3 linked regions of the Drosophila melanogaster genome follow. The main gene of each other region encodes a partner of the protein of the gene in region 3 in a complex. Each region holds a gene or a part of one and is shown on either strand. Other genes may lie near its edges. The genes, in order: Nprl2, Sec13 and Iml1.

The links.
Region 1: Iml1 (region 3) and Nprl2 share a complex: the UniProt entries of both Drosophila melanogaster proteins name them as parts of the GATOR complex.
Region 2: Iml1 (region 3) and Sec13 share a complex: the UniProt entries of both Drosophila melanogaster proteins name them as parts of the GATOR complex.

The regions. Positions count from the first base shown.
Region 1 is NC_004354.4:16,879,389-16,889,863, reverse strand, and holds Nprl2 (nitrogen permease regulator-like 2), read left to right. Parts: upstream 1-5,498; 5' UTR 5,499-5,623; coding exon 5,624-5,800; intron 5,801-5,862; coding exon 5,863-6,369; intron 6,370-6,457; coding exon 6,458-7,012; 3' UTR 7,013-7,180; coding exon of another isoform or gene 7,181-7,254; 3' UTR 7,255-7,345; downstream 7,346-10,475. Other genes in the region: CG13002 (uncharacterized protein), read right to left, coding at 1-54; CG4880 (uncharacterized protein), read right to left, coding at 1,630-2,241, 2,454-2,897; DENR (density regulated protein), read left to right, coding at 3,427-3,546, 3,636-3,897, 4,063-4,250; Polr3I (RNA polymerase III subunit I), read right to left, coding at 4,348-4,788, 4,848-5,000, 5,064-5,178, 5,256-5,263; CG4872 (uncharacterized protein), read right to left, coding at 7,181-7,254, 7,346-7,543, 7,614-8,409. UniProt on the Drosophila melanogaster protein: An essential component of the GATOR subcomplex GATOR1 which functions as an inhibitor of the amino acid-sensing branch of the TORC1 signaling pathway.
Region 2 is NT_033777.3:23,349,833-23,360,307, reverse strand, and holds Sec13 (secretory 13), read right to left. Parts: upstream 4,031-10,475; 5' UTR 3,643-4,030; coding exon 3,356-3,642; intron 2,911-3,355; coding exon 2,127-2,910; 3' UTR 1,777-2,126; downstream 1-1,776. Other genes in the region: RpS3 (ribosomal protein S3), read right to left, coding at 450-1,154, 1,418-1,453; ATPsynCF6 (ATP synthase, coupling factor 6), read left to right, coding at 4,523-4,674, 4,739-4,907; PolE1 (DNA polymerase epsilon subunit 1), read right to left, coding at 5,220-5,523, 5,588-10,475. UniProt on the Drosophila melanogaster protein: Functions as a component of the nuclear pore complex (NPC) and the COPII coat. At the endoplasmic reticulum, SEC13 is involved in the biogenesis of COPII-coated vesicles.
Region 3 is NT_037436.4:1,529,631-1,540,105, reverse strand, and holds the start of Iml1 (increased minichromosome loss 1), read left to right. Parts: upstream 1-6,071; 5' UTR 6,072-6,197; coding exon 6,198-6,249; intron 6,250-6,304; coding exon 6,305-6,612; intron 6,613-6,672; coding exon 6,673-7,161; intron 7,162-7,218; coding exon 7,219-7,823; intron 7,824-7,883; coding exon 7,884-8,055; intron 8,056-8,117; coding exon 8,118-8,526; intron 8,527-8,583; coding exon 8,584-8,715; intron 8,716-8,846; coding exon of another isoform or gene 8,847-10,475. Other genes in the region: pns (pinstripe), read right to left, coding at 1-558, 621-910, 974-1,386, 1,952-2,061, 2,117-2,396; CG12091 (uncharacterized protein), read left to right, coding at 3,545-4,510; Ir62a (ionotropic receptor 62a), read left to right, coding at 8,847-10,475. UniProt on the Drosophila melanogaster protein: An essential component of the GATOR subcomplex GATOR1 which functions as an inhibitor of the amino acid-sensing branch of the TORC1 signaling pathway.

The sequences.
Region 1 (10,475 bases), on a different chromosome or scaffold from region 3:
CATTTCGTGGTTTTCGAAGATCTCCGATGGTTGCAACAATTTATACAGCCCCATACTAATTGCTCGCCAATTAGTCAACGATATTCGCATTGTTTAACTAATTGCCAAATTAAATTGTACACATATTGTTTAATTGCCGATGCAGATACTCTAAAATGCTATTCAGATTCACCGATCGTAGCACCCTCAAAAACATTTTGGAAAAAAACGGAGTAGAGAACGCTGAAAATAAACTAAAGCGGGGCAATTCAGCATTCGGCGGGCGTAATCCGGAAGGTCGGAGCCCGGATTCGTCCGGAAGTGGGTCGTCGTCTCAATGGAACACCCATGCACACATCATACACATTGTACACCTCGTACACCCACATCACGCATACGTCGTGTGCGCCTGCGGGACAACGAGTGTACGAGTAGCCAATAAAAATAAGCAAACGCACTTGACCCTGGACAATCGAGCGACTTGGGCTTGGTTCGCCGATTCCGTTTGTAGGCCATGGCTGTCATGGAATAGCAAATCGGGCTGCCACACGACGCCCCTTATCCGTGCTATCCGATAACGGAGCGTCTCTTCGCAGTGCCCATAAAGCGCAAACAAGGCAAAAGCCAGAACAGCAGCAGAAGCGCATGGGCTTCGCTTGCCCTAATGGCCCGAGAATGGAGCAGGGTGCTTCGGAGCAGTAGCATACTTTTCGGGTTGCGATTAAAGCTGAAGCATAGTCCTATCTCGAAAGATTCACAATTTGGACAAAGTGGCATTGTCGATCCTAACGTGCAGAAATGAAACGCTGAAGCATACATATAAATATATAAATACCTGGACACACAGGCAACTAAACTTTGGTCGGCATACTACATTGGCTTTTCTTCAATAACAAGCTGGCCACATAAAAGACAATCCTCAGCCCGATTTGGAGAGTGGCCTTCAAGTTTATGGAATTGCTGCCAAAACGCTCATAAACAAAATCCGTGTAACTCACAGTAAAATCCTGGGAACAATGTGCAACGCTCTATAGAAAGGGATCTGCCAATAGAGAAGGTTGCTGACGGCCAGAGGATCTATCATTTGGAATCCTACCGTAACGAATATTTAAATTGCTAATAGTAGTTGTGTAAAAGATTAATCCTTGTAAATATATAGTAGTATAGTAATTCCCATTCTTCGAAATATATAATTGTTTAAGATAGCAGAACAATAATTTTTTTCTTATTTTTAAAATAAAAAAATAGTATATTTATAAGAACTTGATTCTAGACTCTTATACACATATGGCAATTTTAATCACATTTACTTAATATCGTGGTTGAATGCTGTCAACTTACAATTTAAATATAATTCGTTCATTTAAATTTATTCTTATATGATACCATTGGTTTTCTTTTACAAAAATTTTGTCATTTGTCGTCTTAATTTCATTTACACATATGGTAGTACAAAAATAGCAAAGTATTGGCCATATATGTATGTACATGTACGATACACAGGAATAAAACATTGGTTTTTGATTTACAACATTAAACTTTGTTTGCTGATATTCCACGGATGCTAGCCTAATAGTTTTTGCCAACCTGCTTTTAAATTTATCACGACTGGTTTGCAGAATTGTCTAAAACGTAAACTTTAAAAACCTACTAAAAGGAACCTACTGGAAGGACTTGGTCAGTATCCTGGGAGTCTGCGATTATTGGTTTGCCGTAGAGCAGGACCTTGGCCAAAATCGACTTGCAGCCAGAAGCGCTAGCATCGATACTTTTGATTATCTCTTCTACGTGCTCGTCTTCCAGGTGCACCATTGCGATGGCGGCTTCCCTGCGGATGCAGTCGACCAGATGGGTGGGATCCAGAGTCGCAAAGGTGACCAACTGGGTGTGTGGCATATTTCTAAGGATCTCCATATCCATCTCAAACTCCTCGCCGGGCTGCATGCTATTCACATTAAAGATAAACACAATGGTCAACCGCTTCTGTTGCGGATGCTCAGTGTGGTTGGCGCTCTTTTCGCCCTCACTTATCATTTCGTTAATGATAGGCACGAAGTGTGCATCCTTCGGCGTCATGTTATCAATCAAGATCATATTCTGTCCGCAATATGTCAGGCCGGATAGCATGCTCTTCACTCGGCCCAAAGAAGAACTGCCGGTCCAGGAGAGTGTATTCACGTTCTCGGGCCAGGGAAACGTTTCGCGCAAGATTCGCGCAGTGTGGCTCTTGCCTACGCCAGAGGTGCCCACCAAGACGATTGCCTGTTTGGAAGGAGATCCGGGATATTAATACACAAAATATTGGCAATTCATTAAGTTTACTAAAGATCATCTAGTTGTTTGTTGCAATAACCAGGATAAATCTGGATGAGCATATACAACAACTGGTAGTACAATCAATAGTAAACTATACTAAGTGATATGGAAAATCCGCTTAGGATGCACATTAAATCTACTGTTTCCCCGCTAGTCACCTCATTGGTGGTGTTGTCCAGTGCCAGTTCTAGCTGGTTCAATGCAAGATCCTGGTTGAGTACCTGGTGGCGGGCGTGCAGGACCATGTCGCCCAGCCGTCGGGAGGGATTGCAGTAGTTGTCCTGGTTGTGGACGATCGAGTGGTACTGGTTTTTGTAGCTTTCCAGGAATCCGCTGACCGTGGACAACTTGTCGGTGAACTGCAATAACATGCCAATTCCTGCGGCGAGGGCGAGAATGAGGTATGCCCAATTCCGCCATGGAGCCTTCTTCTGGGTACAATGGGCAATGTCCAAATGGTGTTTGCACACCTTTTTATTCAACCGCCTGTTGGACTGCAGGCGGCGAATCTCAGTCCTCCTCTTTCTGGCGAATGGCCGGCTTATCGGGGCGACCACATTTTCATTCTTTTCGTTCTGTATTAGAGTATTGTATGTGACCATTTTATTAAGCCTTGTTTCGTTAGCAACTGGATATTTTTGGCTGACTTGTGCTCGAATACAATTATCAGCCTACTGTGATACAATTTGGTAAAAACTTTGGTTGCATGTTACAAACCGGCAAATTATTCTAAATGCCGCTTCCTTCATGCAGTATTTCACGAGTGTTGTTTTGATAGGCAAACATATTTTGGTATTTTACTATCGAAACATTCTTCTGTTCTGCCAATAAATACAATTTTAATAAGTATTTTGTAATACAATACAAGGTATAAATTAAAATAGTTTCAATCAATGTAAAATTAATGAAAATACGTAAATTTTAATTTTAGCTTATTGATAGTCGGAATTGTACTACGATTTAAATAAAGGTATATTTTAGGTAGGTATTTATTTAACATGTGTCAATGTTAGTATATTTTACGAGCCTAAACAAAAACGGTCAGTTTGCAGTAGCCGACTTCTTAAAACTGTCATTATTTTAATATTTCAATAACCCGGAGCAAATCCCAGGCAGTTAATCCGATCCGCAATGACGAACGAAGATGTGGGCACCAACAGCGTCGCCGACCGCCTACAGTTGGGTCCGCGCGAAGGCGTCACCTATCCGATCCAGATGAAGTACTGTGGCCACTGCACGATGCCCATTGAGGTGAGTTCGTCTTCAAACCTGGGAAAAATCCATATTAGGGATCATATATGGCCCATATATTTACATATATATATATCCACTATACGCAGTACTGCGAGTACTATCCGGAGTACGAGAAGTGCAAGGAGTGGCTGGAGCTCCACATGCCCGATGACTTCGAGCGACTAAAGATTGAGGAGGAGGCTGCCGCCGCTGACGGGACGGATGACGACAAGAAGCGCCAGAAACGCGGTGGCAAGGGACTGTTGCGCGTCAAGAAGAAAGAGGACGTGCCCAAGCGTATCTGCGTCTCGCGGGCGGCACGTGGCAAAAAGAAGTCAGTGACCGTGGTCACAGGATTGAGCACTTTTGGTAGGTTCTGTTCGCACATTATGAGTATAGAGTAGGAAATGGAGGGGGATGCGGGCCCACTGGATGCTATGAGTAGCCATTACCATACCATGTAACTTAGATATATTAGATATACTTATGAGCTTTATTGTTAACTAAGCATAATACATTCCCTGTCTGTTCCAGATATTGATCTCAAGGTGGCCGCCAAGTTCTTTGGCACGAAATTTGCCTGCGGCTCCTCGGTTACCGGAGACGACGAGATCGTCATTCAGGGTGACGTCAAGGATGACTTGTTCGATGTCATACCCGAAAAATGGGCCGAGATCGATGAGGACGTCATCGAGGATTTGGGCGATCAGAAGCGAACATAAATAATTTACCTTTTTTTTTAGCTTATTTTATACGCTCCATCAACATAAATATATGAAACGTTAAACGTAATAAGCGGATGGGTTATTTTGGCGGCTGCTACCCGAGGTTTTCTCCATCTGGTGTCGGATTGGACTTGGTTTCCATTGAAGTGGGTGCATCCGTTGCAGGCGCTGTAGTGGCTTCATTTGCTGGAGTAGCATTATTTTCTGAAGACGATGTTTCCACTGGGCTTGCTTCTTCTGCTGGAGTAGTAGTAGTGGCTTCACTTGAAGGAGTAGCGACATTCGCAGGAGTAACTCCATCACCTGGCGTGGTTTTGTCCGCTGGAGCTATTTGTTCCGCTGGATTGGATTTTGCCTGGGCATTACGCTTTACGCCAGATTGCTTGCCGGCCTTCGCAGTGGACTCCGCAGGCTTTTCCGCCGGTGTTTCCTTAGCAGCGCCTTTGGTTTCTCCACCATGGAAGTGTTTGTAGCTCAGCTGAATGATTTTCTCGTTCTCCTCATCGGTTAGTGGAGCTTTATTGTCGTCGATGAGCTGGGGAGGTTATTATATACTTAATTAGCCTTTCTGGCATATGATAGACTAATCCTTACCAGTTGCGTGTGTAGTGCACTTGTAGGCGGATCGTTGATCATTTGCAGGATCTCTTGGGACTTTAGACGATAAGAAGACAGGTCTTTAACGTAATTCATAATGTTCTCACGAGTTTGTGTCTTGCAGGGCGACTCCTCCAGATACTGCAGTGCCTGTGGAACAAAGTGTTTGGTTAATTTATCATATATTAGTTAAATATTTAAAAAAATCGACACCTCATAGGTAACCGTGGCCAAGTTGCGCATGCCGAACTTCTTTTTGGTGCTTTTGATCTTCTGTAGAATCTGCATTACCTCCAGATTGGTGAGGTACGAGAACGTGGGATTGATCCTGAAATGGAAGCGTTATCATCTGCATATTATTCGCTGTTTAATGGAAAAACTAAATAAAAACAAAACAATCCTCACGTTTCCATTTCTGCAAATTTTAGTATGACCGCAGAGCGAGCGCTAAAATATACCCCACCTACGCATATTACAGTTGGCCTTTATATATTAACATAACAGATAATTTATACATGAATAAAACGATCTACTCAACAAATTAAATGGTGTTGAATTAATTTGTTGTTAAAATTTGTTATAATTGGTTTTTGCATTGGAGTATATTTGTTGCAGTAAGGCTATGGTCACACTAAAGCATCGCTTACCATAACATTACAGCGAATTCCGCCACTGTTATTGGATTGTGCCACCTGCTGTTAAAGCTTTGGAGTCCACTCCGCGGAAGGAAGCAGAGGATGTGGATGCGGTGATACTGGAATCTTTTGAACGGCATGCATTCCCATACGAATGAGACGGCTGCGACGTCGACAACGGCGGGCGCGGTCACGAATGGAGCAGGCGGATCAGGAGCTGGAGCAGCGGGTGCCCATGGCAGCACGGAGGGCAAGATCCGGTGCATCTTCCTCAGCGAGTTTCATGCGACGGCGGGCTGCAAGATAAGCTGCCAGGTGAGCTGGTTCCCAGGAGCGCTGATAACGCAGTATAGTTCGAACAAATCCACGTCCCTCAGGTTCCTGATAACTACATATCCAAGGATGTGTTCGATGCTATCAATGTTTACATCATACCCAAGCAGCATCTTCAACGCTGCATTCTCACCGTCAACGCAATGGATGTAAAGATAGTCGGCTATCCAGTGGGCATCCAGGATCAGCAGAAGTACGCACGGAATGCCTTCCTGTTTAACCTATGCTTTGTCTGCGACTCGCGGGCCAGGAGCGTCCAGTACGAGCCGGTCGTCAAGAAGCTGTCCGAGTACCTCATAATGATGGAGGAGGAGTCGTGCTTCCTGTCTCGCGAAGATGACAAGCGCCGCCTACAGAACATCTTTGAGACTGTACTACGCGACCTTAACGAGCGGAAGGTGGCCACCATTGTTGAGGGCGATAACACTATATACCTGAAGATCGTCATGCACAAGCCGGACCCGCCGCCGGTCAAGGATCACATGGTGCCCCTGCTGCTGGCGAACCTGCGCGATGCTCCGCTGGACAACTGGGACCTTACCACACAACAGGTGCGGACTATTCCTGATTCTATAGTTATACAATCTTCACGATGTAAATAATTTAGTAATCCCATTGGACTGTTATGGTTTCCTCTAGATCCTGCCTTATATAAATGGAATCAACCATGTTGCCCGCATTGCCGCCGAAGCGGACGTGGAAACGGACCTGGTCAAGTCGTGCATACAGAATCTGGTCTACTACGGGGTCGTTCAGCTGCTGCCAATCCTGAAGTACAGCAACGTGTACATGACGCAGAACCTAAAGCATCTCATCCAGAGCGCATCACTGAGCGGCGCATGCCGGAAATACGTGGCCTTGCGTCCGGACAAGACGCTGCCCAGTGTTCAGCGCATCTTTCAGTTCTACGCCTCGATGACTCACGGCGTTACTCTGCGAGCGATCTGCCAGAGATTGTGCCCCCAGCACCACAACATCGATGAGCGTCGCATGGTGATCTTCGGGCTGCAGCACCGATTCATTCGCTGCATCCACAAGTACCCGGTGTTTACGGGCTCAGTGCCTTCCGGGCGGCAGAAGATGTACACCGGGCTGATCAGCTTTGACGAGATCTGCTGCAAGACGGGCCTCTCGCCCTGCACCATCGAGCGGGATATCGAGAAGGACACGAATGTGACTGTGATCTGGAAGTGACGACCGGAAGGACTTCTCCGGCCAGTTGGGTTTGTTGTAGTTTGTAAGCGAACCGATTGTTATGTTTCCAAATGCTTTTTTATATACGCGCATATACACATTAAAGTTTAAGAATTCACTGGTTTGGCTTGGGCTGGTTCCGGAATCGCTTTGCCAGCTGGACAGCAATCAGGAATCCTTTGCGCTAGAGATAATGCAATCCTGAACCGCCTGGGCCACACAGGCGTCCTCCGAGGCCATGCCTTAAATAGGAAATGTATGAAATTTTTAATGATACAACTTTGAAACAGACAGAGATAGTCATATAGTTACACAAACTTAATAAAAACGCACCCATGGATTGAAAGATGCTGATTTCTAGCTCCTTGGGATAGTTTCCATCCAGAATGATCTGACCCACTTCAGCGGTGATCGGCGCAGGTAATCCCACCAATTCAGCCTCGGCATTGGCATAGCAATCCACGTAGACCTTGGCCTGCTGGTAAATCTTTGGAGCCACCTCCGAAAAGTGAACTTCGCCGGCTCCCACAGCTGAAATCGAAAGTTATAAAGGGTAGGTCATCATCATCCATCCAGCATTCCATTATAACAGCAGACCTACCGTTAATATGAACAGCCCGTTTGGATTTCAGATCTGCCAACTGGATAAGCGGCTCCTTGGAGTACGTGGCGATGCAGATGATATCGGCATCCTGGCAAGCTTCGTGAGGACTTGGACATACAGTAATCTGGGTTCCGCTCTCGGTGTTCAATTTCTGCCGCAGTTGGTCCGCTAAACCCAGTGCCTTTGCCTGCGTGCGATTGTAAAGATTAAGCTGCCTCACCCGGAAGTTCGCGCAGAAAGCGGCAGCATGGAGTTGTCCTTGAACTCCACAGCCCACGATGGCCACGTTGATATTCCTTTCCTGCTCCGCCTGCGCCCCAAAGCGCCTGAAGTACAGATACTTGGTGGCCACCAGTGAAGCGGATACAGTGCGCCAGGTGGTCAAGTCCGTGCCCTCCATTATGGCCGACAGTTGACCGGTTTGATTGTCGAACAGCAGCACATGGGCATGGATGCTGGGCAGCGGAGGATCCCGTCGGGGATTCCCACTGAACGAGGTCACCAACTTGCAGGCCAGTGTTGAGTGGGTGTGCTCCACTTCCCCAGGATCCCTTGACGATTCCAGCCTGTAGTTGCCCACATAGGCGGGCATGGTGAGCAGAACCTTGCCAGGTTCCTTGCCGCATGGAATAAAAGTCCTCTTCGGTTGAAAGGCAAAGGATGTGGAGGGCGTTTCCGGATTCTGCTTAACTATAGCTACAAGTGCAGATTCCACTGCCTTATTGACCAGCGGCCAGGTGAGAACCTGACGCACAGCATCCGCATTGTAGTAAGCTGGCGTAGAGCTGCTCATATTGGCAATGAAATGGTTTTAAAACAAAGTAATTCTTGCAAATTAAAATATTCTAATTATAATTGGAATGCAACTTAGTATCTTACTAACGATCAAAGAATGCACTGACCAGGGATGCCAGGTTTTAGGAATATTGTTGTGGAAATAACTATATTAAGCAATGTTTTAATTTCTGATAATATATATTAGAAATATATTAAGCTTAAATACTGTGACTGTACTCTATCAATTTTGAAAATTGGACTCATTGTACATTTTTGTCTTACAAAAGCTTATTTAGTTTGAAATCTTGGCAGCACTGTTGACTTAAACTTAAAAATTAACTAAAAAATACCGTTACTATCATTTAAACACCTATCGAAATCAACAGTCGATAACTTTGATGATGCAAAGCGTTGAAATTTTAAATTGAAAGATCAAGGTGATCATTATTTGATAATATTCAACGTATTGAAGAAAAAACAATGACGTTCGGTTTAAATCAGGAAAGACCATTATCTGAAGTGGGAAAAACCACCAACCGAAAACCAATTTTCACGGGCGACTGTTTTTCCTCATTTCTAATGCAGTTTTCCCCATTCTTCGGCATCGCTGGGAAAATGCATTTTCACCGCACGCCAAGGGCGAAACCGCAGCGCTCAAAAAGGGAAACCGCTTCTGTCAACGGCTTTATCGCCCCGAAACGATTCTCGCAAACAGCTGGAAACTGAACCACAGCCCACACAACCCGTCCACTCCACTCCACTCCAATCCAATCCCACCCAGACCAATCCAATTCGGAGCCGCAGCAGGCGACACGAAAGTGAAAAGCGAATGCACTTTTCCGAGGCTGCAGCTGATAGGGAAATTAATTTATGCGCCGCCATTGTCTTTCTGGTCGCGCCATTTTATTTTCCCAGCTGCTAATTCAAATTTTGACATAATTTCTTCACTGTGCGCCTCCGTCGCATGCTTTCTCGCCTTTTTCCCAACCAATTTCACTTGACTTGACCTTTGCGCGGCAATTTCATGGGTTTCCATGCACTGGGCGAAAAGTACCGCCCTTCCTAATGTAGAATTCTTCTAAATGGCTACTGATTATGTCATTCATGCAAACGGCTAGGATTTACAGTGCACAGTGAGAAATTGGGAGAGTATTTCATGATTTTATATAAGAAGAATAGCATTGTGTTGAATTATGATACTTTTAAACCACCTTAAGTCACCCAATGTCTAGAAATATTTTTGATTTTATTAAAGTCACCCAATGTCTAGGAATATTTTTGATTTTATTAACATTGAAAATTAAACATTACAAACTTACCACTCAGCATATGGAATCTTGTTTCCAGCTTGTTTTTCGGCCTTTCACGATATGAACAGGATGAGCTCTACTTTTTTTTCGAGTGCATGGGCCTGTGTGTAGGGTGGGTCTGCAGCCTTTTGTTGTTGTTGTTGCAGGCTGATTTATATTCGCCCCCAAGTGCCACAAATCAAAGTCGAGCTGCTGCTGCTGACTCATTGGAGCGGCTCCTGGTTTATCGCGGTGACCTGTTGCATGCCCCACTCCTGGAGACACGGCGGTGGCACCACCAGAACTAATAGAACCAACAGAACTTGCAGAACCACCAGCAGCAGCACTTCTGATTGTTCTGACCTTGCTGCCGGGTAAGTGGTTGGCCATAAATTTTGGCATTGCGCAAAAGCCACACCGGCAGCTAAAAACAAAAAAAAAAAACGCCCCGATTCTGAGCTGGATTCCAATTCCAAATCCAATCACAAGAATCCATATCCGAAAAGTGAATTGTCGCCCTGACGCTTTGAATAAATTGCTAAACGATTGGGCAAGCGCCAAAACTTAATGGCCAAAAAGGATTTCGCCTCGTTGCGCATAAATTTGCGGGCCAAAATCAATGACGAATTTATTGGCCAACTACGTAAAAATAGTTAAGGATATATACACTGAATATAAAAGAATATAAAAGAAAATATGGGTATATTGTGGTAAGAAAGATTAAATGTTGATGGGAATATTGTTTATCCAGTTAAACCTAAATATTTTTAATAAATACTATTTTTGTTACTAT
Region 2 (10,475 bases), on a different chromosome or scaffold from region 3:
GACAGATGCTGATAAAACTCTAGATCTCTACTCTTCAAACATTACATTTTATATCAAACTATTTATAAATGCTTTTGAAATTTTCATCTAATTTTTAAATCTGTTCAAATTAAGCATTCCTATTCTGATAAAATGGGAAGGTAAGCAACTCTTGTGGCCAAACTGTTTCATATTTATTAATCATAGTGGCGAGGTGGTGAGGGACTAAGTCTATTTTTAGCCTGAGTTTCAAAAGCTATCCTTTCCTTTTGGAAAACAGGTTTGCATATCGGACAGACACAACTTTATGTTTGACCCTCGCACTCTACACTGCACTGCACAAGTGGGTTATTACTTATTGATTTTGTTTATTGAATTATTATGTGTTTTTGTTTTGTTTCTGTTGTTTTGTTGTATTTGAGGGCAACTCTTTCAGCTAGTCGCTCATTGGATGAACAGTAAAACTAGGTTTACAAAACTTTCGCCTCGGACAGATCGTCCAGTGGCTTGCTGGGCGGGGGGATCTTGTACTCGGTCTCGGGCGTCTCGTAGATCTTCTCCTCCTTGGGCTCCACAACGGACACATTGTCGGGCAGCGGCTTCTTGGGGCCGATCTTGTTCTTGGGGTCGTAGGGCAACATGACCTTGACCTTGATACCAAGCACTCCCTGGCGGAGGAGCACATGACGGGTGGCGGTCTCGACATAGTCGTTGCACGGATCTCCCGAATGGATCATCAGGCCATCGACGAATTTCATCGACTTGGCACGCTGACCACGCAGTTTGCCGGACACGACGACCTCGCAGCCCTTGGCTCCCGACTCCATGATGTAGCGGAGCACACCATAGCAAGCACGACGGACGGCCAGTCCTCCGGTGAGCTTGTACCTCAGCGACTCAGCCTGGGCAATGGCGCACAGGCCACGAGCGGCCACCTTCTCGGCGTACAACTCAATGCGTCCGGTCTCGAAGTTGAAACGCTTCTGCACCATGGCGGTCAGCTCCCGAATGCGACGGCCCTTCTCGCCCAGCACCTGCTGGGTCTTGGTGGCCATGATGATGATCTCAGTGCGAGAGGGGGTCACACGGACCTCCACGCCGGAGTAGCCATCCTCGGCGAGTTCGCGAGTCAGGAACTCGTTCAATTCAGCCTTGAAGATGCCATCGGAAACGAACTGGGGAGCAAAAAGAAACCATTATAATCCGCATTCCACATCTATTGCACACCTAGCAATCCTCCTTCTTGTTGTTGTTGTTTCACCACGCGTTGTTGAGTTCCAAAGTTTTTGGGACGCCCATCTGCTTTGAGGTTAACTCCGAAGCCGATGGATTTTCGCGCTTTCCGGCCGGGTTTTTCACACAACTCCGATGAAACAACGAACGTACGGACACTGCATTACATGCCGGAGGTAATCCTGTCTCATTTTTCCCCAATTACCTTGCGTTTCTTGGAAATCGGAAGGTTCGCATTCATTTTGACGTCGAATCGGAAACGTGGTGCGCAGAAAAGAAAGAGGCCAGTGTGCCCGCGCGAGACACGTTAAAAAATACCACCCGGTCTGGAAATAAATACCACTATATACCAATTTGGTTTCCAAAAATTACAGTTATACACTACTGAATTAAACAATTTATTTTAATTACTTTTAATATTCATTAATTTAAAATGTTTTTTAGCTATTTGCTGTTTCTGCCTCGTTTTTACTTAAATTGATTCACAGTAGTACTAGGCAGACATGGTTCGGAAACTAGATTACAACAAGCTTGTACACAAACCTAAAGTGACATTCAAAAATTGTGTAAAAATTTTAGTTTTGGAATTTATCTGTATGGTTAAAAATAATAAGTTTGAATAAAATTTGGTTAATTATTTAAATCTTATTATACTATTATTTTTAAATACATACTACTTACAATTTGCAAATATATTTGATAAAACTTAAAAAAAATGATACCATTTCGACAAAAACTTGTCTTTAGAATTCATTATAATTTCAGAAGATTCAAATAGGGATCCCATATGAAGTCCAAATAAACATACACTAAACAGCGTTTAAAGGGGCACATTAAATAGTATTTCGTATATATATATTTGTAAAGTAACACTTTTAACCACGACTTCAGCACGACAATATTTCGGGGCTGGCTCAGTTGGAGAGCTGCGAGTTGGACAGGTTCGAGCTATGCTCCGAATCGGAGGAAGGACCTGGATGCGATGGCGCCTGTTGTTGGTGCTGTTGTAGCGCCTGCTGCTGCTGGGAGTGGGAATGCGGAAGGTGCGAGGGCTGCTTCGACTGGATGGCCGTACCCGACTCGTAGTTGATGCGGATCCATTGGCCCTCCGTGTTCTCCTTCCACAATGTGACATTGTTGTCCCCACCGGTGACGGCAAGAATGTTGCCGGTGGTTGACCACGAGATGCTCCACACGGCATCGTCGAATGTGTGCAGCACAGTCGAGGTCCACTCGGATAGATCTGCGTTGCTGCTCCACACAATCACATGGCGATCCTGCGAAGCCGTGGCAATCTGCGAGCGGGGCAATCCGATCGACGGCGCCCAGGCCACGTCGCGCACCCAATCCGAGTGCGCCTCCAGTCGGTGCTCCTCCACCCAGCGGTCGTTGTCCTCCCGCCAAATCTTCACTAAATTATCGCAACCACCGCTCACTAGGCGCTTTACGGCCGCCGAACGCGAAGTTACGCGCTGGTCAAATGCTGGATCTGGTGCCTGGGCGGGGCACCACGAGATGGCATTCACTCCGATCGTGTGCGCATTCGGTATCTTCTTGGCATCCCACACACCGTACTCCGTGTTGCAGGTGAGCACCGATACCGAGCCATCCGAACTGGCGCAGGCCAACACCAATCCGTACTCGGATGGCGCGAAGTCCACCGAGTTTACCGAGGAGTCGTGGTTGCTGTATTCGTAGCTGAAATGTGGCAAGCACAGAGGTTAGATGTGGCACTCTTTAAATGATAACGGAAATCTAAACATAAGTATGACATGGCGCATTGCTACCTCGTAATCTCGTCAATAAGAGAGTATTTTATTGTGTTATGACAGAGGGAACAATTTAAAGGACACCAACATATATATATATTTATATATATTTATTATAACAAGATCTGATTCTTCTTGTTAAATATTTTCAATACCATGATGTAAACAATTATAAATGATAAATTACATTTGATACAAGACGTCCAAGCATAAATATTAAAATAATGATTTCCAAAGCTATTAAAGTATTATTATTAATCAAGGATCAAGCTATTAAAGTATTATTATTAATCAAGGTCCTAACAATGGGTATCCCCTGGTCGATTCCTAAAACAAACATAACTTTGTTGGTATGGGTGTGCCCGTTTACTTACAGCTTAGTCCAATCCCGGGGCGTTGTGGACTTCCAGACGATCACCTTGCGGTCGTAGGAGCACGATGCCAGTATGTTGCCAAACTTGGGATGTGCCCAGGCCACCTGCCACACTGGTCCCTGGTGTCCCTTGAGCTCGGCGAGCGCCTTATTGTTTTTGCGCGAGTGAAAGATGCGGACGCTGCCGTCCGAGGAGCAGGTGGCCAACAGTAGGCCGTAGAAGTCCAGCGCTGCGTGGTGGACCATGTCCTCGTGCTCGGTGTCGATCTCTTGCAGCAGGCTCACCATCTTGCTCGAAATCCGTTCGTCCGGTCGCCAGATAAATTGATTAAATGCAAGTCGTGTTTTTTTCCGGCGCTTGACGTGGAACCTGGTTGAGCAGTGTGACCTGAGCGCGGCAGTGGCTGATGGTTACACTTGCAATTGATCACATGGTCACTCTAGTCCATAGATGAGATAGAATAATTTCAAAGTTTTTAGTTCATATTCATATTATTCATATTCATATTATAGTAAAACAAGAATTTATTAATTATATTCAATTTAGATCGGGTTTTGGCTTGTGTGGGATTTTAGATACAGTTTAGGTGGTGTTTTGGTATGAACGTTTATGGAGCAGTTTTGATTTAAGTTGGACATGTATAGTAAGATACATAAACAGACACAGTGTATAAATTAGCTTTTCATAATTTGTAATATTTTTATTATAGGCTGTATTTCGATAGAGGCAAGTAATTTAAACGGATTGTTGATTAAAATTCTTGTTCGCAACGAATATAATCTATATGATACAGCTGACAAATACAGGATAAAGCAAAAAATCAGCTTAGGAAATACCCTTACTATTTAAAAAGCTTACGTCCAATAGTATCGCATACACCCATCACGCGCACATCACTAACACCAACTGCCATTGTGAACTGACAATTGTAACTTTTCCGCACGAAAGTTAGCATTTGCAAAGGAAAATAAGGTGAAAACAAGATTTAAAATACATAAAAATTGATTGAGGGAATACAATTTGAATACAAGATAAAGTTGCTAGCAAAGTCGGCTTGAAAACCGATTGGGAAACGTCGAAACAAACAATTGTATTACATAACCTTTTTAAGGTTACATATGAAGAAGGCCGTTTATTGCTATTCTAACAAGGATCTATCAATTCCAGATGCTGTCGCAATCCCTGCTGAGTGGCATGCGTGTCCTGCGCACAGAGGCCCGTCGTAACTTCGGAATCGTTGCCCCTGCCCTGAACAAGGCCTCCGATCCCATCCAGCAGCTGTTCCTGGACAAAGTGCGCGAGTACAAGCAGAAGAGCGCGTAAGTTCTGGCTCCTTCATCCGTTGGTGTGCCTCGACATAATCCTTGTTTTGCTCACCTGCAGCGGTGGCAAGCTGGTGGACTCCAATCCCGATATTGAGCGGGAGCTGAAGACCGAACTGGACCGTGTGGCCAAGCAGTTTGGCAGCGATGGCAAGACCGACATGCTGAAGTTCCCCGAATTCCAGTTCCCCGATGTTAAGGTCGATCCCATCACCCAGGCCCCACAGTAGAGATCGCTCTTCGCGAATGAGTTAGTCTAATTGCTTTAAGTTCAGCTGCTGATTTCGCCTGTGCGCCCCCAAAAACCGCGGGCAAGTCAACAAAAAAAACCAATAAAATCGGGAAAACAACAAGCGATTCGTATGCGAAAGCCACTAAAAGTGTGTGAATCTCATTGAATTATAAAGCGCGTCCATTCCTTAACACAGACATTCGTCTTGTGCGACATCATAAACTCAAAACTCATTAAAATCGAATTAAATTCCATTATAAATACAATATATTTAAGCCCTACGATCTAGAAAACAACAACAAACTAGGTCCTAGCGTGGCGTGGTCAGCGCCTGATGAACAGTCTGCTGGAGCAACTGCATCTTGTGGTTGGCAGCCACCTTGTTGAATGTGCCCAGCAGTGTCTGGATGTCCTTCCCGCTGATGAGGGGCACAAAGTTGCCAGCGCAAGTGCAGAACTCTGCCAGATTCTCGCGCTTGATCTCGCTGCAGCGCGAACAGCGCAGATCCTGCAGCACATAGGACATCATCTTGCGCTGCAGTGCATCCAGCATTCTCATTTCGATCTCCTCGTTATCATAGGCCACATAGCACTGGGCACACAGCCAAACGGGTCTGAAAAATCCAACATTAATCAATTATTTGTGGTAAATTATGTGTACTGGTTTGTGTAACTCACACTCCATCTTTCATGGCGCGATGCTTGTCCTTGCAGAGATCCAGGTCCCTGCAGTGATTACACGCTTTGCAGATGACCTCGTTGATGATGTGACTGTCGCAGGGATCCTCCCACTCAGCCAAGTCGGAGAACTCACCAATCCCCACCAGACGCAGCATATTTCGGCGCAACTCGTTGATCTGCTCCGCCAGCGTTTTGTCCACACTCAACGCCTTGATCAGAGTGCGGATAAGTTCTAGGCCCGGGCTCGGCTTGCCCTTGCCGTAGTTCTTGTGCAGCTTCAGGATAAAGTCGAACGCACAGTGTGAGATGTCCTTGATGGCCTGCTCGGTGGTCTTCTTTTCAGCCAAAGATTGCATGAAGAGGGTCAGCAGGGATTCAAACTTTTCGCGGCACTCGTTTTCATCGGGCAGATGTTCGCCAATTGTCCAGTTGAGCTCCAGGGACAGCTCATCCTCTTGATCCTGCTCGGCCTCGTTGCTCTCCACTGGATCACGGTTTTCCGAATCCTCTTCTTCATCCTCGTCGTCATCTTGATTGCGTTCAGAATCCCGTATCATGGTAGTGGAAACTATTGACGACACTGTCTCATCGATTCCCTTTGGTAGCTTTCCCCTAATTCCCGAGAAATTTGCCTGGTCCATCCAGAGCATAAAGTTCCAGCATTGCTCGAAGCTCAGTTGGATGGAGTGGAACATCTCCTTGTTCCTCAAGCTTTGCACAATGTAGTCCACATAGCCCAGGGCATCGGAAACGGTTTTCTTACCCGAACTAAGGATAATCCTGTTAAAGTCCGCATAGATAATGGTGGCGCCCAATCTCTTGAACTCGGCTATAATGCGCAAGAACATCTTCCTCATCAGATTATTCAGAGATCTTCTCAAAGCAGGATCATAGAGTAGTGCATTACTGGAGCGCACCCATCGATAGAAGTGCACGATCTGGAAGTCCGAGAAGATGTTCCTATTGATGGATACCTCTCGCAACCAACCATTCACCATGGAGCGCATAACGCGGAAGGCGGCGGAACAGAGGGCCGTTTCATCATAACTCGGCAAGGTGGCCGCCGGAACAGTGCCAATCATCTCCTCCAGCGAGACCTGCGGCATCACATCGAACGTAATGGCAGATGAGGCGCCTTCCATTTCCTGAATCCTAGTCGATTGGAGCAGGGCACTCACCGCCAGGCTATCCAGAGCCAGCTCCACGCAAACATCCGGATAGAAACCGGCCTTGTTTTGCACCACACTAATGCTCTCCTCGAATTCCGCCAACAGCCGGCTGTCGTCCGCCTCCCGGCCACCCAAATCTGGTCTGGTACTCGCCGACCACCACAGCACAAAGTTATGCCGCTGCAGCAAGCGAGCGAAGAAAAGATCCGCTCCGAAAAGCACAGTATCCGGCGGCATATTGCCAATGGGCACATGGAAGTAGCGACACTGATCCAACATCAAATCAAGAACATTGTTCAGATTCAGAAAGTGGCGTATCACTGCCCTGGAGCCCTGTCGCTGCCAATCAAGGCCAGAAAGCAAACTAGCGTCATCGGAGATATGAATCTCAGCCTGGGGAAACTCCAGCAGGATCGGCATGGCCAGGCTGAGTTTACGCGCCGACAGCGCCGTTTGAAGGCACAGAATGGTGGGTCCCTGATGCTCCTGTTTGTAGGTGGTCAGTGCCCGCTGTATGTGCCGGTAAATTTGTTTGACATCCACCTCAATGAGAACCTCAAATGTGTAATCCTCTACAGGAATTTTATCTTGCTCCTCTGCCGTCAGATTCTTGAGCAGGGCCAAACGCTCGGCGGTATACAATTGCCTCATGTTCGGCATTTGATTGGCACGCACTGTGTCCAAGGCAAAAACAAATGCCTTCTTGCTGGGCATTAGGATCAGTGACCAGATCTCCTTCTTGGCCGTCGGTGTGTTATGCTGATACAAGTAGATTTTGCGCAATCGATTGTTGGCGCTAGCCAAATATTTGACCTGAGTCTGGGGCCGCTGCTCCAGCTGCTCGATGCTAAATGTTTCCAGATCCTTGGTGGCCAATTGGGCCAAGCGACGTGCCTCCTCGCGCTGGACACCGCAAATGCAGCCCATGTCCATGAGGGCGCGAAATTCCAACGTCATCTGCGTCTCGTATATGCCCTCAATGTCGGGCGTCGCCAGATCCGCCAGCATGCCCAGCGAGTTATCCCGGAAGAGCTGTTCGGGCACACTATATCGATAGAGATTGAAAACAGGTCTGGATCGTGGCAGAACTCGATTGACCTTGCGCCAAAGTTGACCCTCCTCTGGAGGAGCTGCACTTCGCTGATTTACATAGAAAATCCTCGGTACCGTCAACTTGATCTTGTGCAACTCTTCGCCGATTAAGGCCCACACAGTGAAGTGGCCCAGGTCGTCGACGGGCACCAACTGTACGATCTGCCACGGCTGGTCCAACAGGGTGCGTTGTGCACGTCTAAGGAATCCGCCCAGTGTAGCTGTGGATCCTGTTGCTCTGACCACCGGCGGATCCTCGCCTCGAGTTCGCTTGCTCGCCTGGCGATTACGCTGGCGCTGATCCTGCTGCCATTTCCATTTCTTCTTCTGAAATCTCACCCACTCAACGATGGTCTTTCTGGTTTCACCGATGGGCGGTGGAGCGCCCAAGGCCTGACGCCAAGTGGTGGCCTGCGGCTGTGCCTCCTCGTCATCGTGCTCCTCCAGCTGGATTCTCTTTCTCTTGGTGACTATCGGACAGCCTGCAGCACCCTCACCGCCATCTTTACCAGCCAAATCTTCCATATCGGCCAGCTTGTCCTCCTCTGTGGCTAGAGGTTTCGGTTTGGGTCTGCTGGTGAACATCTCATTGATGCGACGCTGCTTGAGCACATCGTTCTTCTCCAGCATTTTCTTGTGCAACCAATCCGGATGCTGAACTCTGGGCACTGGATTGGCCAGTCCCTGCAGTGCCGCCGGTATGGTTATGATCTTCTGAATGGTCCCACCCAATCTCTCTATGTAGTAGTTCCAATCGAGCACATCGCGTATATCCGCATCGCCCATGGTGTTGTCCTTAAGCCAGCGACGCAGGTGATGTCGCCTCACGCTCGGTTCGGATTGGAAAATGGCCAAGGGAATAGCTCTCTCGGTGACGGGTGCTCCTTCGGGTTTCTTCGAAATAATGTACTTACAAGCCAGACCCGCATCCTTTACCATCTGCTCGCCCAGGAACTCAGCCAATCGCTTGGCCGTGGAGATGGACGTACTCTTTTGGGCGCCATACTCCTCAAGCTTCTTGGACATGCTCTTGTTCTCCGAAATAAGTTCGAATAGCTCCGAGTCGGGTAGATTTGATCCTCTGCTGTAGAGTACATCAAGCCAGTAATCCGCCACCTTGGCCACAGATGCATAGCATTCCTCAAGTGTGCTACCAGCGAGGAAAGCTTCGAAGACGGAACTCTGGAAATTTTTGATCAGCTGCAGTTCACCGCGTCGCTTCACCTCGAATCCCTTGAGTTCAGCCAGTGTGCCATCGAAATTAAAGACCGCATATCTTTTCTTCAGCTTCTTGCCCTCCTCTTTGGCAGCGGGTAACACCATGGCAAGGTAGGGTCCATCCACCTCGAAGAATATAGAGTTCTCATCTCGAATATCGTATTTGGGTAGATTGTTTTCCTTATCCTTCCTCAACTCGTGGTACTGATCGTTGGTAAAATGATCTTTAACCATAGTGTTTAGCACTGCATTCGGATATGATATGTTAATCTTCTTTTTCTTCTCATGGCTCGTGTGAATGGTAAACTCCTGCGGAAAGGAGCCAGGCAATATGCACCATATACCATCAGTGTCCAATTCGAGTGGTCGACCAACTCGCTCGATAATTTCCCTCGCCTTGGTGATAATATTCGAGCCCGTGAGGCACACAATGCCGGCCATAGGCATGGAATGCCAACGGGCTCCTCTCCTCATCACGTAGCCATAGAAGGAGTTCAGGATGCACTTGTGGGCCAACTGCAGGGAATCGTAGAGCACCTCCCTGCCCTTGGCTGCCTTGATCTCTGCCGCGTCTCCCGAAGCCACCGCAGCATTCACCGATGCTTTTGCCACTTTGGTTAGTCCTTTGTACTCGTAGCGACGATCGCGAAAAGCTCGCACCGTGTCCACATAGAAGCTGTTCTCCTTCTGGCAGATGGTCGAAGTGCGCGTTTCCAATTTGGTTAGCTTGGTCTTCTTGTAAGCCTTGCGGCAGTAATCCGTCAGACGTTTCTTCTCGTACGCCGCCTGATCCTCCTTGGAGAGCTCGTGAAAGGCTCGCTGTGGTCCGCCAGGGAAAAGGGGTGGAAACTTCTCGGTCTCCAGCTGCTGCTGAATGCGCTGAAACTCGTTCCTGGAGGCGGGCAACATCTCGCCGCGCCACAACCAGTCCATGGAACGTTTGCACCGAACTCCTGGCTTGTTGAAGTCACAGGCGGCACAATCTAAGTCACTAACCATTGCCGAGGGCTGCAGGCGATTGGTCAAAATAATGTTGGGGTACATGGCACCCACATCCAAGTGATAGATGACCGGCTGCTCCAAGCGATTGGGTATATCGTGCAGACCCTGTAGCCCCTGCACAATCTCCTGCCGCACTTCATCCAGATTCAAGACCTTCTCGAGCGGTATGCCTTCCTCCACTTCGATAGCGTGGCGCAGAACTGCATCAACCTGCTCCTGCAGTTGCTTGACCATAGCAGGATCTAGACGAAAACGGCATGGTATGTCCGCCCGGAAAACACCCGATTCCAAAGCCTCCACATGACCACCCACATAGGTTTCCGAATCCAGTACGTGTCCCTCGTTGGAGAGCTTATTCAGCTCACTCTGATGCTTGTTGGGATACACAATCTGGGCATGGTAAG
Region 3 (10,475 bases):
ATGGATGCGCTATGAGCGGTTGGTAATCCACGACGCCACCACCCGGCGATCCCGACAGAGTATAGACGGTCTCCTGCATCTGCTGAAAGCGCTCCTTGCTTCGCCGTGCTGCCTGTAACCCGGTGGGCAGGGTGCAGCTGGAGATCATGGCATCGACGCCACCTGACCCGCTACTTCCAGATCCAGAAACTCCTCCTCCGGCTCCTCTGCCCACATAGCCGTTTCGGAAACTAGGCTCCTGGTCGCGGTCTCGCTCGATCTCAAACTTGTCCAGCACCGAACCAATCTCGGCCATAAAATCCACCTTGTGAGGAAAGACTGGAAGCTCCTCGGGCAGCTGGATGTGCTTCTTGTCAATGTCCACGAAGCAAAGGGTTGCTTCGCTGCCGATCTTGTGAGCCGCTTCGCACTCAGCATGTAATCCCATCACAAAGGGCACTGGTGCGTCCAGAAAGTGGTGCAGGGCGGCCGGCAAAATGGGAGCGTACACGTGCGGCCATACGAACGGAAACAGCAGCGAGGTAATGCACTCACCAACGATCATAAGTCTTTGATAGTCTGCAGGGGAAATGAAAAGGTTATAAGATATGTTACGAATTCGCAATATTGCAAGTTCTGACCTGTGGACCGGAGCAGGACCTGATTCTCTAAGAGCACGCACGTCAGCAGCTGTATGACACACTCCACACCCAGGTACTTGAAAAGCAGCCTGAGCGGAAAGTCGAGCAGAGGCAACTCGGTAGCAAGAAGCGGACGCTGAAGAATCAAAGCAATGGGTGGCAGATGTGGCTCTGTGGGAGGCAGGTAAACCCGAATGGACTTGCCCGGTTGCGGTAGCATAACCTCGTAGAGTATGTTGTATACGTAGGACTCCAAGCTGATACCAGCACCAGGCTGTCGAGGAAGACATCTAGGTAATAAGAGGTAATGAAATTTAGTACAAGGATTCTGCGTTTATATGTATCTCAATTACCTATACAGATTCTTAAGAAACATCTGAGCGGCAAAGGCGTACGGAGCCTGACATATCAGCGTGATGCTCTTTGCCACGTACAACTTGTCCTTGTTGATGTCGTAGTAACTTTGTGCAGACTGCGGCGCCTGTCCGGCCACCTTAAAGTGCCTTGGCAGTGACCGGCTGACCGGACCATCCTGTTTCACCCGACTGAGGGAATGCGTCTGCTGGCCATTCGAGAGCTCTGTGATGAACATGCTCTGTAGCGTGTGAATGGCCCCGCAAATGTTTCGATTCCGAATTTCCTCGTAGAACACCAGACTGAACCCATAGCACCGCTTTCCATCTTCTCGTGTCGTGGCAAACGAGTGGAAACGGGGTTCGATGCAATGTTTCTGGGTGCGGAAGCGCAGGCCCTGCGGTAGTGAGAGCTGTGGAAGACAAATGGCGGGGGTGAGTTCTCGATCTCAAGTGGCGGGCATAAATAAAATCCATTCATTCGAACACATGCCCAGATGCCCGAGATAAGGTTTATCGGTGGAGGGGTGACGCTGTCGTATTCGTGGCATCAATTATAAGTGCTTCTCTCACAACAACTCGGGACGAGTGTATCAATGAACTAGCTAGCCAAGCATGAATTTCCACCGAAAGGGCAGCCAATTGAGCTCAATTAGACATGAATATGGATTAGGGTGGCTCGGTCATTCGCAAGATATAAGTTTTTCTATGCTTCAGTTCTACACTTACAATGTAATGATGTAAAAATGTAAATATAAAAATAATTAAAAATTCACATTTAGCAGTCTGAACTGATTCCATTGACAGATGGCAATAAATCACTCTCTGACCTAATGATTCATCAAAATGATGTGTGTTTGGGAATAAGCATGAAGGAAGCCATTTAAATAGTTTAGACTATCATACATTATCTAATCGACATTAACCGATCCACCCTAAGATGGCTAGGGAGTGACTTCAAACAGTCTTTATGATTACCATGCATATGCCGTGGGCATCGAAGGGATTCCAGGGCACGTTCTCGGGATAATGGGCCAAAGGCTTGCTCTTGTAGGCGCGATCCAGCGGCGAGCAATGTAGGTTGTCCCCTAAGAGGCGTAGATGTGAAGTTAATCCCAATCTCGGCGAGCATTCATCACTTACCCGCAAAGCGATCCGGTTCGAGACCCGTGTCCAGATCCAGTCCACATATCACAAAGTAGTCGGCGAAGCGCGAGAACTGCGGATCCGCATCCCGCTTCAGTTGGTTCAGCTCGGACTGAGATTGGGACTGCTCCCCGGGCGAGGTGGGAGATTGCACCAGGGTGGAGGATGGAGCCACCTGGATGTTGGGACCACTTCCATTGCCACTGCCATTTCCACTCCCGCTGCTGAGCATCAGCTTGGACAGGCGACTAGAAACCACATTCTCCCTTGTGGTCATCGCGTCCTCGTCCTCCTCCTCCGTTTCTCTGTCTCTCTCTCTTTGTCTTTAATCCGCCAAATGGGACATCAAACAAAAAGCACTGCCTCCATGTGTGTGCGTGTGCTGCTTGTGTGTGTATACATGTACCGTTATGCGCTCGCGATTTCGTGCACTTTCGAATTTACACAACCAATCAATTTCCGTCTGCAAAATACGTACAACTTTAGGCACAACAACAAGCCAAGTGCTATTTTTACTTGTTTGTTTTATTTTTACAATTTCGACGAAGGTGTGCGTGTGCGAAGGAGAGTGTATGCAAAATTTTCTATGCCAATGTCGTTGCCCACGTCCACCACCAACAACACAACACTCTCCTCTTTCACAATTACACTGTCGTATTTAACCCGCTGCTGGGCCGTGGGAGCCACAGCAATCACTAGCCCCAAAACTGGGTTAACACTGGCTGCGTGTTTGTTTGGACCTACCAACAACAAAGACCAGCTGGGCAAACAAATATCGCGGAGTAGAGCAGACCTGAGTTTTTTTTTGGCAAAAACAAACTACTTTGGTCGCCAGTATGACCAGGCTGTGTAAGTAGGAGTAAACCAAAAGAAAATGACCGTTATAATAATTCAACTAAAAGCATAAGGGGGTTTCTTTAAAATACCAGCAGAAAAATACTTGCGAAAAACAATTGCATCGAAAAATATGTTTGTTTTTTAAAACTTGAGCAATAAGTAAAGCTGCATATTTTACCACCCTTTTTGTTATATATACCGTTGGTGTATATAAACGAGTTGTACTGGTTCCGAAAATAACACTACTACAATAGGGTGTATATGGTTTCGGAACCCGTTCAGGAGCGGAGAGTTGGGGTGGGGAACCAGCACCGAACCAGTTCTGAACCGGATCGCGACCTGACGAGAAAAAGTGTATCACTTCATCACATAACATTTCGCATTTAATTGGAACGTAAATTGTGTGCCCCGTCGAGACAGGAGTTTTGCACCGGAAAAAACGAGTGCGGAGGAGTGGCGTGTAGGAGTGAACGCCAAGGAGGAGCACTCCGACGTCGTAACAAACGAATAAAACGAATCCAAATCCGACACCCCCCCACATGCGATTGATTTGATTGATTGAGAGCACGAGACCACGAGTTCTGGGCGATGCACTCGTCACTCAGCTGGACCTCGCGTGCGATCTCTCGCGCCCTGCGCAGCAGCTTCTCCACGCTCCTGGAAACGGCCACGGGTGGCGGAAGTGGGGCAGCAGCCAAGGGGGCCACCAAGTCGGGAGCGACACCAGGATCCTCGGGCGCCCCACGACCCCGTTTCGTGTCGGTGGTGTGCGGCTTCGCCAAGGACAACCTGCGACACAAGTACAAGCCGGGAAAGTACGGCGAGGACTCATGGTTCAAGGCCTCCACCGCCAGTGCCGATGTCATGGGCGTGGCCGACGGCGTGGGCGGCTGGCGAAGCTATGGCATCGATCCCGGAGAGTTTTCATCGTTCCTGATGCGCACCTGTGAGCGGTTGGTGCAGTGCAGCCACTTTAATCCCCAACGACCAGTCAACCTGCTGGCCTACAGCTACTGCGAGCTGATGGAGCAGAAGAAGCCCATACTGGGCAGCAGCACCGCCTGCGTCCTGATCCTCAACCGTGAGACGAGCACCGTGCACACGGCCAACATCGGCGACAGCGGCTTCGTTGTGGTGCGCGAAGGCCAGGTGGTTCACAAGTCCGAGGAGCAGCAGCACTATTTTAACACACCCTTCCAACTGTCATTGCCGCCGCCGGGACATGGGCCCAATGTCCTCAGCGACAGCCCTGAGTCGGCGGACACGATGAGCTTTCCGGTGCGGGATGGCGACGTGATTCTCATTGCAACCGACGGAGTGTTCGACAACGTGCCCGAGGATCTAATGCTGCAGGTGCTTAGCGAGGTGGAGGGCGAACGCGATCCCGTCAAGCTCCAGATGACGGCCAACAGCCTGGCGCTGATGGCGCGCACCCTGTCCCTCAACAGCGAGTTCCTCTCGCCCTTCGCCCTCAGCGCCAGGAGGAATAACATTCAGGCGCGTGGCGGCAAGCCGGACGACATCACCGTTGTCCTGGCCACCGTGGCGATGTGAGAGTGGTGCTCCAGCCCATCCTCCCTAGTGATTAACGTTTACTTGTAGTCCGTACGTGTTTAGTTAGCTTTAGGAGCCAGTTTCGTGGTTCTGTCTACCGTTTAAGCTGCATGTTGAGATTGAGATTGTGATTGACGAGGACGACGACCCTTTGACCCTTTGCATTGTTAGTTACATATATACGAGCAAACTCATTTTCGAACCGACGAATCGACTTCGACGCATCCTGGTGAGCGACCCGCGCCTCGATTGTATACATAACCCTCGCTATAAGTAGAGAATGCGAATTATCTGCCCGATCTGGCGATCTCTGTCGTCAGTGGCGTTCTAATCACCACAAACAATAAACAAACAACCGATTGCGAAACAATCCCCGACGCCGAGGATCATAAATACGAGTCCGGGGTCCGGATGATGGAAGCTGGATGGATGGTGGACCCGGAATGGAGCGAGTCGAGTGCAGCTATCTGACTGAGGACGGAGGATTACCCATTTACGCGGGCGAACGAACTGTCTTTAAACAATTTTTGTCGAAATGTACTCACTGATATTTGCGACCCAATAAAATTTATTCAATGAAAAACAACGAATGCAGCTTGTAGTCACTTCGTGATAAATTCATTAAGCAAATAAATATGTGTAAACAATAAAGCTGTACGGAAAACTTAAATAGAACGTTCTAATTGCTTAGATTAACTCATGGTCAGAAAGATGGAAATTGATAGATTCAGGAGCGGACAAACTGATTAGCGTGGGGGTGTTTATTTTTAATGCGATGTAACAATCATTTTCCTCCAGAAGTATAGGTGAAATTACATTTTTAATTAAAAAGGTCTTATCTGAAAGAAATCGATTGCGCTTCTGTGACGCAGACTGACTACATATATAAGCATAAAGCTGCAAAAAATATATGCATTCTACAGATTATTATTATATTCGAATAGGAAAAATACCCAGAACTATTTTTAAAAATTTTATTCGAAAATATTGCGTTATTTCGGTGCAACCTTAATTATTTGTATCTAGAATAAAACGCGCTATGGTGGTGCTATTTTTTACGCAACTGTATATGTGTTAAATCGATAATATAAAAAAACATTTATTTTAATTAGTAAAGTTTTTCGCCAGTTTGTAAAATATGTTAACTTTTGGCTACACTTGTGGGTAAATTAAAAGGCTTCATAGATGCCAAAAAAATTTCAGTCAATAGCAACGCACCAAATCCCCGCTGAATTGGTAGGAGTCTAGTGACGAAAGCATCGGTTGCCCCTAACGTTCGGTAATTCAAATTTTGTGACGAATAATACAAATCACACAATAACATACATAACAGAAAAGCTTACGTAACTGAAATCATTATTTAATTTAATATATATGAAAATAATTAAGCTGACAGGGAATGCAGATTAAGTTAGTTTTTCAATAAAAGATAAAAGTGTTGAGCTACCTTGAAAAATATAAATAAACTGCGTGATTTAATTAATTACAATAACAATTAAAGGTAAACATTAAATTCGGTATATTTGTACAGGAAAATACCAAATAATCCATGCCTGCGGTCACTCTGCAGATAAGGAATCAAAACAAAAGACGAAAAAATAGAATTTTTATTTTACTAGCATGCAAATGGGCAAATGTTGGAATTGAGTAAATAATTGTCCGTTGGTTTTGCAACCACTAAGTCAACATGAAGCTGTACAAGCTGAACACGCATACGCGTGGCTGCAACAAATCCTACGGTAAGCGAAAGTGGATATTGCGCAAACATTACGTTACACGGAAATTTCGGCACAGATGCGGACTTGGTGATGAATCTAAAGGATCATCCCAACGCCAATGTGGGCGATGTGGTAGAAATTTACGCCCCCGACGAGGAGAACGGCACCCACCTGCTGCTCCAAATCACCGAGTTCAATGGCAGCTGTGGCCGGGATGTGATAAGCATAGAATCGGGCATCGCCAATGCCTTCAAAATGCGTCCGTACTCCAATGTGGTGATGCGCATAGTTAAGCCGGCGGATGTGGCCCTGGACTCGATAGAGATTACCTTCAAGGACCAGTACATGGGTCGCTCGGAAATGTGGCGCCTGAAGACCTACCTGGTAAGGAATCACGCAGTTTTCAGACCAGGATATACTTTTAACGTACCACTTCTCCCTCAGACGGACACCTGTGTGTATGTGAACAAGAAGATCGACTACAACGACATGCAGATTCGGTGCCAGGTGTACGAGATGTGGTCGCAAGGCGAGCGCGTGGCCAGCGGTGTCATCACGGAGGACACCAAGATTGTCTTCCGCAGCAGCACTTCGATGGTGTACCTCTTCCTGCAGATGTCCTCCGAGATGTGGGACTTTGACATCCACGGAGACCTGTACTTCGAAAAGGCAGTCAATGGGTTTCTCACTGAGCTCTTTCAAAAGTGGCGAAAATTGAGCTGTAACCACGAGGTGACCATCGTGCTGTTCTCCCGCACCTTCTACGCAGCCAAGAGCCTGGACGAGTTTCCCGAGCATATGCGCGACTGCCTGCAGCAGGACTACAAGGGTCGCTTCTACGAGGACTTTTACCGCGTGGCCATCCAGAATGAGCGCTGTGATGATTGGTGTACCGTTTTGGGCCAGCTCCGAAAGCTATTCACGTCCTACCAGGTCACTTAACCATGTTTTAATTTATTCTATTATAAAAACTTACTACGCCGTTTACAGGCCACTGTGCTGCGCTACCACGAACGGGAGAACATGAAGATTCCACCGGCCACCAATTCTTCAGCCACTCAGGGTAACTTTTTGGAGGTGCTAAACATATCGCTGAACACTTTCGAAAAGCATTACTTGGATAGAACGTTCGACCGCACCGGACAACTATCCGTGGTTATAACCCCAGGAGTGGGTGTCTTTTCCGTGGATCGAGAGCTAACCAATATCACGAAGCAGCGCATTATCGACAATGGCGTGGGTAGCGACCTGGTCTGTGTGGGCGAGCAGCCACTGCATGCGGTTCCGCTTCTCAAATTCCACAACAAAGACACCACGTTGACCTCCGCCGATGACTACTCTCTGCCCCACTGGATAAACTTGAGCTTTTACTCCACTAACAAGAAGATTGTGTACTCCAGTTTCATACCACGGATCAAGCTGCCTCTGTTTGGATCCCAGTTGACGCTCCACGATGGCGTTGGCGACGGGGAGGGCGAGGAGAACGAGCGTCACTTCCTGAGCTGCAATCAGTCGGAGTATAAGCACAACTCGCTCTTTGATTACGATGCGTATGATGAACAGATCTTCCAGCCGCTCCCCGCTCAGAGTACTTGGTAGTATTGTGCTACAAAATTACCTTTTTAGCTTTGTTGATCAAGGTTTTATTTTCTTAGCTCCCTGCAGCGTGTAGTGCGGGCTAAGAAGACATCGGTGCCCAGTTTAGAGACCTATGCCTATAGGAACAACGATTGGGAGAACCTCACGCCGACTCAAATCCCGGCTATGCGGCGCAAGATGTCCGATCCCGATATTCATCACGGCACCTCTGCAATGCTGGCTGCCTTGGTAAGGGAAATCTTAATACTGACTTTTTACCTGACTTTTGAACTGTTTTTATGTGACTTTAGCAACCGGATACAACCAACCTCTCCGAGTCACTGGCCTCGGAGAAGAACTCCCGCAGGACGATCGTTAGCATTGCGCCCATAGTGCGTCCGGGTCGCGCTCTGATCAATCCCTTTGATCCCTCGCAAGTGACAATAAAGCTGACCTCCAATCGCCGCCGCTGGACGCACATATTCCCGAAGGGCCCAACCGGTGTACTCATACAGCAGCATCATTATCAAGCGGTGCCCGCCAAACCCACGCAGGCTGGTCAGCAGAGACCATTGCAGCAGACGCAGAGCAACAACAACAACGACCAGGAGGATTACGGGTGCGAAAATGGAGAGCAGTACGACCGAGTGTCCAGCCATTCGCTGCTCAACAAGTCAGACTCCTCGCAGAGCTTTGTGATGGGTGATGAGCCCATTGATTGTGAGTAGCAGTAACTAAAGTTAAACCTCCTCGACTAGCATTGCTTTGTATACGCAGTCTTTAAGCGGCGTCAAAACTCGCCGATGAACCCCCAGCCCGCCAATGTGCCCAACCTGACGGCCACCCAGGCGAAGTCTTACCTCTGGGGAGCCACTGGGGAGCAAGAGTGGACACCAGCAATTACCACGGGTAAGTGTTAGGCAAACAGTTTTCAGGTTTTGTTTTAGAGATCGTATCGTGGGGCAAATAATTCGAGATGCACTTGAAGTACTCGGCGTACATGGAAATCCCAGTCAGTTTGGCATGGTTCACGAGCGAAAATGTATCTTCAGTTTTTGTTCGCGCTGTTTTTGTCGCGCTACCAAATCGTGGCCACCGAAAACTTTGACCGCGCTTTCGAGCTGGCTCTGTTTCTGGACAGGATCGGCCGCGTGCATCGCTTGCATGCCATCACTATAGTGAACAGCCTGGGATCTGTTGATCCCAGCTATCTGGACGATCTGCATCGCGGCCTGATGTGCAACAGCAGCAATCACTTCTACATGCTGCCGCAGATGACGGCCACGGACAAGGATTCCTCGCACGTCCACTTCAGCAGCCTGCAGGATGAGGAGACCATATATTTGGTCTTCGCCAGGGATTCCAAGGATGCGGTGATTTACTTGCAGGCCGAAAGAGCCAGAGGAAGGCGTTACACGAGGACTATGTTCCTGCTAAGAAAGCAGGAGTCGCAAAAGGACATTAAATACTTCTTTGAACTCCTGTGGAAACTGCAGTTCCGGAGCGCTTTGGTAGTGGTGGCCGCCAGAAACTTCTACCAAATGGATCCATATCCCACTGTTAGGGTGATACGCATGCGAAGATTATCCTCCTATGATCCGCATCATGTTTTTCCGCCTGCAAATCGAAAAAATTTCAGAGGCTACAGGATGCGATTGCCCGTACAGCAGGATGTGCCCAATACTTTTTGGTACAAGAATCGCAGGACGAAGGCCTGGGAACTGGCCGGATTGGGCGGGATCTTGATCAATCAACTGATGATGCACCTGAACGTGACCATGGATTTGTTTAGATTTGAAGTAAATGGCTCTTCATTGCTGAATATGGCTGCGCTCACGGATCTGATTGTAAAGGGCAAGGTGGAGCTGAGTCCGCACTTGTACGACACACTGCAATCAAACACCAGTGTGGACTACTCATATCCCACGCAGGTGGCACCGCGCTGCTTCATGATCCCATTGGACAATGAAATTTCGAGGAGCCTCTATGTGTTCCTGCCATTTAGTTTAACCATGTGGCTGTGCTTGCTGTTTGTTCTGCTCGTAGTGCACTTCGTGTATGTGCGCCGCCTGATTCCAGACGGACATTTTTGGGCCATACTAGGAGTGCCTGGTGCTGGTCAAGTCAGATATGGCAACCGCAAGCCGGTCAGGCGCTTTAGTACCTTTCTGATCCTCTTCGGAATATTCATTCTTGGGCAAACGTACAGCACCAAACTAACTTCATCTCTGACCGTGACTCTGATCCGAAGACCAGACAACAGCTTGGAGGAGCTATTCCTGCTGCCGTATCGCATTCTAGTGCTGCCCACGGATGTGTACGCCATCGTTGATTCCCTGGGTCATGCCGAGCAGTTTAGCACAAAGTTTAGCTGCACGGATGCCGAGAACTTCAGCCAGAAGAGAATCTCCATGCATCCGGAGTATATTTACCCCATCAGTACAATTCGTTGGCGTTTCTTCGATATGCAGCAGCGCTTTCTGAGAAAGAAACGCTTCTATTTCTCCAAGATTTGCCACGGCTCCTTTCCCTATCAGTACCAGCTCAGGGTAGACTCACATCTCAAGGATGCCCTCCATCGATTCCTGCTGCATGTGCAGCAAGCCGGGCTGCATGATCTTTGGCTGGATACGTGCTATCGCAAGGCCCATCGCATGGGCTATCTCAAG